Sus scrofa: one gene and its partner. The protein of the gene in region 1 interacts with the protein of each later gene in a biochemical or structural test. Links are inferred from orthologs where the notes say so. Each region holds a gene or a part of one and is shown on either strand. Other genes may lie near its edges. The genes, in order: MB21D1 and RNF185.

Region 1 (4,241 bases):
AGTGTTTTTTCACCAATTATAAAGTTTGGAATCCAATTTTGAAATACAAGTGTATGCAGAGCAGAAGAAAATACAACAAAATAACTGTGAATAAAATAAACAGGGATAATTCTTCTATGTGCTTTTCTGAAATCCAGAGACATCAACAAGGAACAAGGGCAAAGACTGGAGATGCTGAGGAAGGAGGTAAGAAGGGGTGGTTCTGTTGTGCTAAAGGAGCCTGCTGGAGGGCAGGCAAATGAAATGACTCCACAATGAACAAGTAGGCCTTTCATAACCAGTTCTTTAAAATCAATACATATTTTAGATAAAACAACTTTCATTTTCTTGCCATCAATGTGATTTTAAAAAGAAGAGTGGTTCTGGGGGTTCGCATTGTGGCTCAACAGTAACAAACTCAACTTGAATCCATGAGGATGCGGGTTCCATCCCTAACCTCACTCAGTGGGTTAAGCATCTGGTGTTGCCCAGAGCTGTGAAGTAGGTCGCAGAGGAGGCTGGAAGCTCCCAAGTTGCTGTCAATGTGGCATAGGTCGGCTGCTGCAGCTTGGATTTGGCCCCTAGCCTAAGAACTTCTATACACCACAAGCGCAGCCCTAAAACGCCAAAAAAAAAAAAGCTTCTAATTGGAGACATTTCTCTATTTCTTTCTTTTTTTTTTTTTTTTTTTTAATGGTTTATTGAGCTGATCCTTAGTACAGGTGCTGGCATTTGCCCCTGGAGCTCTTAATGTACAAAGCTCAGACGTTCTGCCAATTTTTCTTGAGCAATGACACCAGGAAGTTGACAGCAAAAAGGATGTTATACACAAGCTCATCATCTGTCGTCTTCACGTGGCCAATAGCCACTTCGAGACACAGCACCTTCTTCATCTGGAACTTGATCGTGGACTTCACTTCATCAACTTTGGCCACCATATTCTCATTGTGGGTCAGCAAGGAAGGGAACTTGCCAGCCTTATTCAGGCCAGGGCCCAGGATTCATGGAATCTGCTTGATTAGAGACTCTGAAGCCAAAAAGGCATCATACTTCTTGGCCAGCTTCTTGACCAGTTTCTTATTCTTGTTGAGTTTCTTCAGTGCCTCGATGTCCATGTGTGGGATATCCACAGCCTTGGCCTCATCACAATGCTGCTGGTCTCCCAGAATACAAACGGAGAACTTGGGGCGGGGAGTAGACTTAGGCCTGAGGTGCCCGAGAAGCGTCTGTGGGTCATAGTTCTTCAGGCTGATTTGAAGCTCCACCATCTCCAAAAACTTCCTGCGCTTGTGCTGGTTCCGTGCAGGACTTCCTGCACCGCCTTGTAGAGGGTGTCCTGAGAGACTTTGCTGCTCATGACGCCTGGCGCAGCGATAACCAGAAAAGAGCGTTCTCTATTTCTAACTAGTAACTTTCTCTTTCGTTTGGACACTTTATACAATAGAACTGATTGATACTTAGGTAATATGCTCAAGATATACAGATAGTCCAATGAAAGTTTTGTTCACTTGGTTTTCAAGATGCCTTAGAATTATATGAGTGTTCTTCTTTGCAGAACAGATGTTGACTCACAGACATTGAAAAACTTACGGTCTCCGGAGGAGACAGTTTGGGGGGTGGGGGGGATGTGCTTGGGCTGTGGGATGGAAATCCTGTGAAATCAGATTGTTATGATCATTATACAACTACAGATGTGATAAATTCATTTGAGTAATAAAAAAATTTTTAAAAATAAAATAAAGAATTATATGAGTGATCGTCAGTGCTAAAAGAGTTTAAGATCCAAAAACCAACACACACAAGGTCTTCCTACAATAAACAAACATCACTGAGTCCACATCAGTAAAATGAGCAGCTGTACAGTGTTCAAAGTTTCTTAAAACATTCTGTGACAAGGAGGCTTACAATCCAGATGGGAAGCCAAAACAAAACAGCGGTTTGTTTTTTAATTTACTTTAATTAAAGAATTGTTGGTTTACAACGTTGTGTCAATTTACGAAACAGCGTTTTAATTAGAAATACGTCACAAGCCACAAAAGAACAAATCTAAGTTACTTCCCCAGTACCCCTGGGAGGTTGGGTGTTGGGGGTGGGGGGCGGACCGCAGGGGTGTAGGGAAACTCACCTTCACTCGCTCATAGTAGCTCCCGGTGCGCAGCAGGGCAACGCCTTTGAACTCGGACTCTCCGCCCTGCAGCCTCCGCAGCAGGTGCTCCACGACCCAGTTCACCACCTCCGCCGCTTCTGAGATTTCGTGGCGGCTCAGCCTCACCTTCTCCAGCACCGTCTGGAGCTTCCAGGCGCCGGGGGGTGCCTCCATCCGCGCGGGGGCTGCGAGCTCTGTGGCCCCGGCCTGGGGTCTCAGTTCCCGCGCCGAGCGCGCCTCTCTCGCGCGGCAAGATCCAGCCCTGAGAAGGGAAGCCCCCTGGGCCGAAGGAGGCTCTACCCTTTCGGAGGGAGCCGATGGGCCCTCCGCCTGGTCCTCGGCGCGGGCCGTCCTCGTGCGTACCTGCGGCTTCTCCCGGGGGTCCGGGCCGCTCTTCTCCCGTCGGCATCCCGACGCCCTGGAGGGGCCGTTCCTCCGTGCGCCAGGCCGGGCGGCCTCGGGCACCGTTGGAGCGCCATTTACACTCCGCGCTGAGGCCCTGGGGCCAGCGGCTCCCACCTCTGAAGCTGTCCGCGTGGACTTTCCCCGCCGGGCCGCCATGGCTGGCGCTCTCTGCAACCCAGTGGGAGACCGGCTTCTGGCAAAGCCACGGCCGGAGGAACCAGCAGACACCTCAGGAAATGAAACTTAAAAACTCAGCGGGAAGGAAGCAGCAGTAGGGCTCGCAGGGTAAGGGCGCGCGGAAGCCCGCGCTCAGGGGGCCACGCCCCTTCCCCGCCTTGCCCGCTTTCTCAGCTTCGGGGTGTGCGGTACCTGGGCGGGGACCAGGCAAAACCTAACCCAGCGAAGCACAAAACAGCTTTGGGAGCTTGGAAAGGGAGATGCCTTTGCTGGCCTGTTACCTAAACGCTTTCTAGAAAACTCTAGACCTTCTCGCACATTGAAATTGCCGGAGAACCTTTTTCAATGTAAGTTTAAATAAAGGGTTTCTTTAATTAGTGGGAAATAGAAATTGTTCAGTTTTTACCAAATGGAATGAGATGTCAATTGACTGTAATTGGAATAGTTCTAATTATTTGACTTTTTAAAAGCATGTATAGTCTTGGAGTTCCCATTGTGGCACAGTGGTAACGATCCTGACTAGTATCCATGAGGAGGAGAGTTCAATCCCTGGCCTCTCTTAGTGGGTTAAAGATCCAGCAGTTGCTATGGTGTGTAGGTCACATACACAGCTTGGATCCTGTGGCCTAGGCCAGCAGCTGTAGCTCAGATTGGACCCCCTAGCCTGGGAACTTCCATATGCTGTGGGTGCAGCCCTAAAAAGACAAAAATAAATAAATAAATAATAAAATATAGTAAAAGCATGAACAATCTTAAACTGTAGTTGGGTTTTTTTCGGTGTTTGTCTTTGGCCTGCACCTTTGGCATATGGAAGGTCCCAGGCTAGGGGCTGAGCTGGAGCTGCAGCTGCAGGCCTACGCCACAGCCACGCTGGACCCTGCAGCATCTGCATCCTACCCCACAGCTTGCAGCAACACTAGATCCTTAACCCACTGAGTGAGGCCAGGGATCTAACGGCATCCTTACAAAGACTATGTTGGGTTCCTAACTTGCTGTACCACAAGAGGAACTCCTTAGAAATGTTTTGGTTTTTTTTTTTTTTTTAATATTTGACTGCACCTGTGGCATGTGTAAATTCCCTGGAACCTGAGCCACAGCGGTGACTATGCCAAATCCTTATCCATTAGGCCACCAGGGAACTCCTTAACTGTAAGTTTTTATAGGGGAGGTTTATCCATTGGTTCTCAAAAACCTGTCTAAAAATGGCACTTATATTTTAAATAATCCAAACTACTTCCACCGTTATGATTTCAGAGTATCTCAGTACAGGCTTCAAGCATCTAATTCTAAAACCAACTTCTTTACAAAAATACATCTTAAATAGGAACTGTCTGGCTTAGCATGCCTTGGTTCTTTTTTTTTAACCATCCTACCCATTGCTAAGTGTAAATGTTACAGTGACAGTAAATACATTCACATTGTTGTGAAACCATCACCACCATCCATCTCAGAATTCTTCATCTTGCAAAACCGAAACTACCCATTACACCATAACAGCCCATCCCCCTGGTCTCTCTGGCTTCTGGTAACCACC
Region 2 (3,812 bases), on another chromosome or scaffold:
GTGAGCCTGAGGAGGCTGTGAATCCACTGAAACTGAGTCTGAAATAGCATGTATGCGTGAGCATGCCCCCATGAATTTTTCAGTACAGAGGATCCTTAGTTTTATGAATTCCTTCAGAGGCCATAACCCCTGAAAGATTGACTTGTAGAAAAGCTGGGTCTCAGATAGTCTGGGACTTTGTAGTCTTAACAAATAGTGGGACCCCAGGGTTGGAGACTAGGTCTTATCTACATTGCTTTGTTTTTCCTTTGACTATAGCTCAGTCTTTTCTAATTTCTGATACCAACAATCCCTACAGACCCTCACTGGGTTGCAATGCACCATAGTTCGATCCTCTTTTCCCATTTTTCTGCTCCTGCTGTACCCAGTGTTTCTGTTAATGGAATCATTTTTCTTCCTTTCCCCCTTTCTCTGTCTCCTTGATGCCTGGTTGCCCTCGGGACTCTGGCAGTTGGCCGTGTTTACATCAGGTAAGATGCATTTCATTTTACTTTGTCTTTCATCAGCAATGGTTGCACAAGACACCCCTAGTCTCAGGAGGCTGCTGTCAGAAGCTGCAATCTCCCCTGCTTGTGGGCTCATTTGCTTGCTTTCCTCCCACCTTCTATACACCTGTCCACTGACAGCACTTTAAACAAGGGGTCATTGTGGTACCCAAGAGGGATGCTCCTGCCTCTGTTGCTGATGGGATGGCCCTTGAGGCCTTGGCAGGCTGCACCTCTCTGGGTCTCACTTCCTCACTTGTAAATTGGGTTGGATATGATAGTATAGCTAGGTTTTTATTTTTGCGATTATGCCTTTATAGAAAGTACCTCCTATCATATCAACAATCACCCCACCCCCACTTTAGGATATTGAGAATATTAGGAAGGGGGAAAACTGTTTTGGTCTCAACAGAGAACTTTTATGGAGAGGAAAAGTCTGTTTTCCTAGCTTTTGATTATTATGAAAACCAGTTAGTAAGTCCTCTCCAAGACCGAGGCACCTGCTTGGTGGGACAGAGCAGGGCCTGCCATTGACAGCTGGCTGTGAATAATGGCCTGTGGCTGACTGTCTCCATGGTTGTTGGCAGTAGAACCCCACACTCATAGGTGGCTTGGAGGGGGGAGGACAAAAGTTCCTGACCACTAGAGCCTCAGCATCTGGAGGGGAGAAAGAAGCAGAAGAAGCCAAAGGGGTTTCCACTGCCTTTCACAGCTGTGCATCCTGACCCCATGGAACCTGGTAGAACACATCTGCTGTTAATGTATAAAGAACACATAATACTTAAGTTTTCAAACTTTTGGCAGTAGGATATAAAATCATTGAACGCTGCCTTCTCCTTGACCCTGAAGTCCTAGATTCACTTTTTTTTTTTTTTTGCCTTTTAGGGCTGCACCCACGGCATGTGGAAGTTCCCAGGCTGGGGGTCAAGTCAGAGCTACAGCTGCCGGCCTACGCCACAGCCACAGCAATGCAGGACCTGAGCTGTGTCTGGGACCTTCACCACAGTTCATAGCAACGCCAGATCCTTACCCACTGAGCAAGGCCAGGGATCAAATCCGCAGCCTCATGGTTCCTAGTCAGATTTGTTTCCACTGTGCCACGATGGGAACTCCTAGATTCACTTTTACATAATAAACTTCATATTTCTGGATTCACGTTCTAAGATGTATGTTGAGGGAAAAAATATGTGTAATTATTTAATGTCTACAAAGACACTACAGCTAATACATTTTTATCATTTTCATCTTGTTTTTAAGAAAATTAAGCAAAGGAGTTCCTGCTGTGGTGCAGCAGAATCGGCAGTGTCTCTGCAGTTAGTTCCAGGGCACAGGTTCGATCCCCAACCCAGCACAGTGGGTTAAAGGATCTGGTGGTGTTGCACTGTGGTGCAGGTTACAACTGCAGCTCGGATTTGATCCCTGGCCCTGGAAGTCCATATGCAGCGGGGTAGCCAAAAAAAAAAAAAGTTAAGCAAAATGATTTTAATACAACCAGTGAGAGAGCCTGGAAAACCCAGAACAGGATCCTGGTGTTACTAATTTTGAAAGAAATTGTTGAATGCAAAAATCAATGAAGGTACATTAAAAAACTAAGCAGGAGTTCCCTTCGTGGCACAGCGGAAACAAATCCAACTAGGAACCATGAGGTTGTGGGTTCGATCCCTGGCCTCGCTCAGTGAGTCAAGGATCCAGCGTTGGTGTGAGCTGCGGTGTAGGTCGCAGACGCAGCTCAGATTTTGGCGTGGCTGTGGCATAGGCCGGCAGCTACAGCTCTGATTGGACCCCCCAGCCTGGGAATGTCCATATGCCACCGGTGCAGCCCTAAAAAGACAAAAAACAAAAAAACACTAAGCAAACTTAGATAATAAGAAAAATCTATCTTTTAGCACTTAGGAAGTCACCAGAAAATGGTCAGCTTATATCCAAATGTTGATGTCTAAGATACAAAGTTGTTGAGGAGATGCTGCAAAGATGAGAAACACAAAGAGAAATCTGACTGCCAGAGTCATACAATTGGTTAAGAAAAGGTGGAAATTTAAAGTTTGTTATTTCCATACCCTCAGCCTAAGCTGAGGCTGGATCTGTCAGACCTCTTGACACAGCTCCAGCCTGCAGTTCTTTCCTGCTGTATTGCTGGGAACCCTTGAAGATAACAAAGCATCAGAAAGCCTGTTTCATTATGATGGCATTTAAAGGCAATTTTGATTTCACCTAGTAAATATTTATTGAGTGCCAGTAGCGGGAATCAGAAAGTTAGGTTCCTTGAGGTGTTCCCTGCTAGTGCTGGTGTTTCCAGTTTGAAGCCTCTGGTCTGCGTAGTTCTGCTGGTTCTGACTGATTGCTCTGGTGGGCTTGCACCATTCATGCAGTTTTCTCTCCTGCTTGCAGTGGTTGGAGACCAGACCTAACAGACAGGTGTGTCCAGTTTGCAAAGCTGGCATCAGCCGCGACAAGGTCATCCCGCTGTACGGCAGGGGCAGCACTGGGCAACAGGACCCCAGGTGAGGTCATGGAGCACCCCCCACACCCACTCCTCCCATGGGACACAAATTCACTTCCATTCAACAGCATCCCCTTACCCCACCCTTTACTTAGTGCTTATAGATCCTCAGTTTTGAGGCACTTAGGATCCAGATGGGAGTCAGCCAGTCCGGGAGGGGAGTCAGGTTGCCACGCTGGGCTGTGATACAGAGCTGCACTGAGTGTGTGCTGGCAGGTAGACAGGGTTCTAGGCAGTGCACAGGACATCACCATTGCAATTGTGCAGAGTGCTGTAGAGGAGCCTGGGAGGCAGTGTCCAGCAGGAGAGTCTGCAAGGAGGGGGTTTGCTGCAGCAGTGATATATAAAGTTGAGGGGGTAGGGGCAGTGAGGGGAGAGATAGGGGTCTGGGAGGCTCTGAGATTTCTGGAAATGGAGGTTTAGTGGTCTGGCACTCTACAAACACAAGTACTGAGAGCCTTCTTAGTGTGGTTCATGACATGTGTGCATATACACACAACCCAAACTCTGACAGCATCTCTTACCTTCTTCCACCTTGCTCCAGCGTACCTGTACCCAGACGTATTGGACTTTTCTTAAAGTGACTTGCCCTTTTACCTTTTACCTTTGTATTTACTATCACTCTGCTTCTTCTGTCCTCCCCAGTCCTGCTCAACTCCCTCTCCTCCTCTAACTTCTACAATCTTTAAATGAGCAGCCCTAAAGTTACCTCCTCCTTGAAGTGGCCTTTCTTTCCCACATTAGTTGCTTTCACCCATGCCTCTGTTCCATTTCGTTGACACCTCTATTACAGAAGTCCCTTCCCACCATGTGTTGTGCTTGGTTGT

What was found.
Region 2: of the proteins of MB21D1 (region 1) and RNF185, one has a biochemical effect on the other in vitro, tested with the Homo sapiens proteins (2 studies listed by BioGRID). The link is inferred for Sus scrofa from reciprocal best matches to the Homo sapiens genes CGAS and RNF185.

What each region holds. Positions count from the first base shown.
Region 1 is NC_010443.5:92,481,875-92,486,115, reverse strand, and holds the start of MB21D1 (cyclic GMP-AMP synthase), read right to left. Parts: upstream 2,864-4,241; 5' UTR 2,687-2,863; coding exon 2,105-2,686; intron 1,352-2,104; exon of another isoform or gene 678-1,351; intron 1-677. UniProt on the Homo sapiens protein: Nucleotidyltransferase that catalyzes the formation of cyclic GMP-AMP (2',3'-cGAMP) from ATP and GTP and plays a key role in innate immunity.
Region 2 is NC_010456.5:47,966,604-47,970,415, forward strand, and holds part of RNF185 (E3 ubiquitin-protein ligase RNF185), read left to right. Parts: intron 1-451; coding exon 452-470; intron 471-2,873; coding exon 2,874-2,986; intron 2,987-3,812. UniProt on the Homo sapiens protein: E3 ubiquitin-protein ligase that regulates selective mitochondrial autophagy by mediating 'Lys-63'-linked polyubiquitination of BNIP1.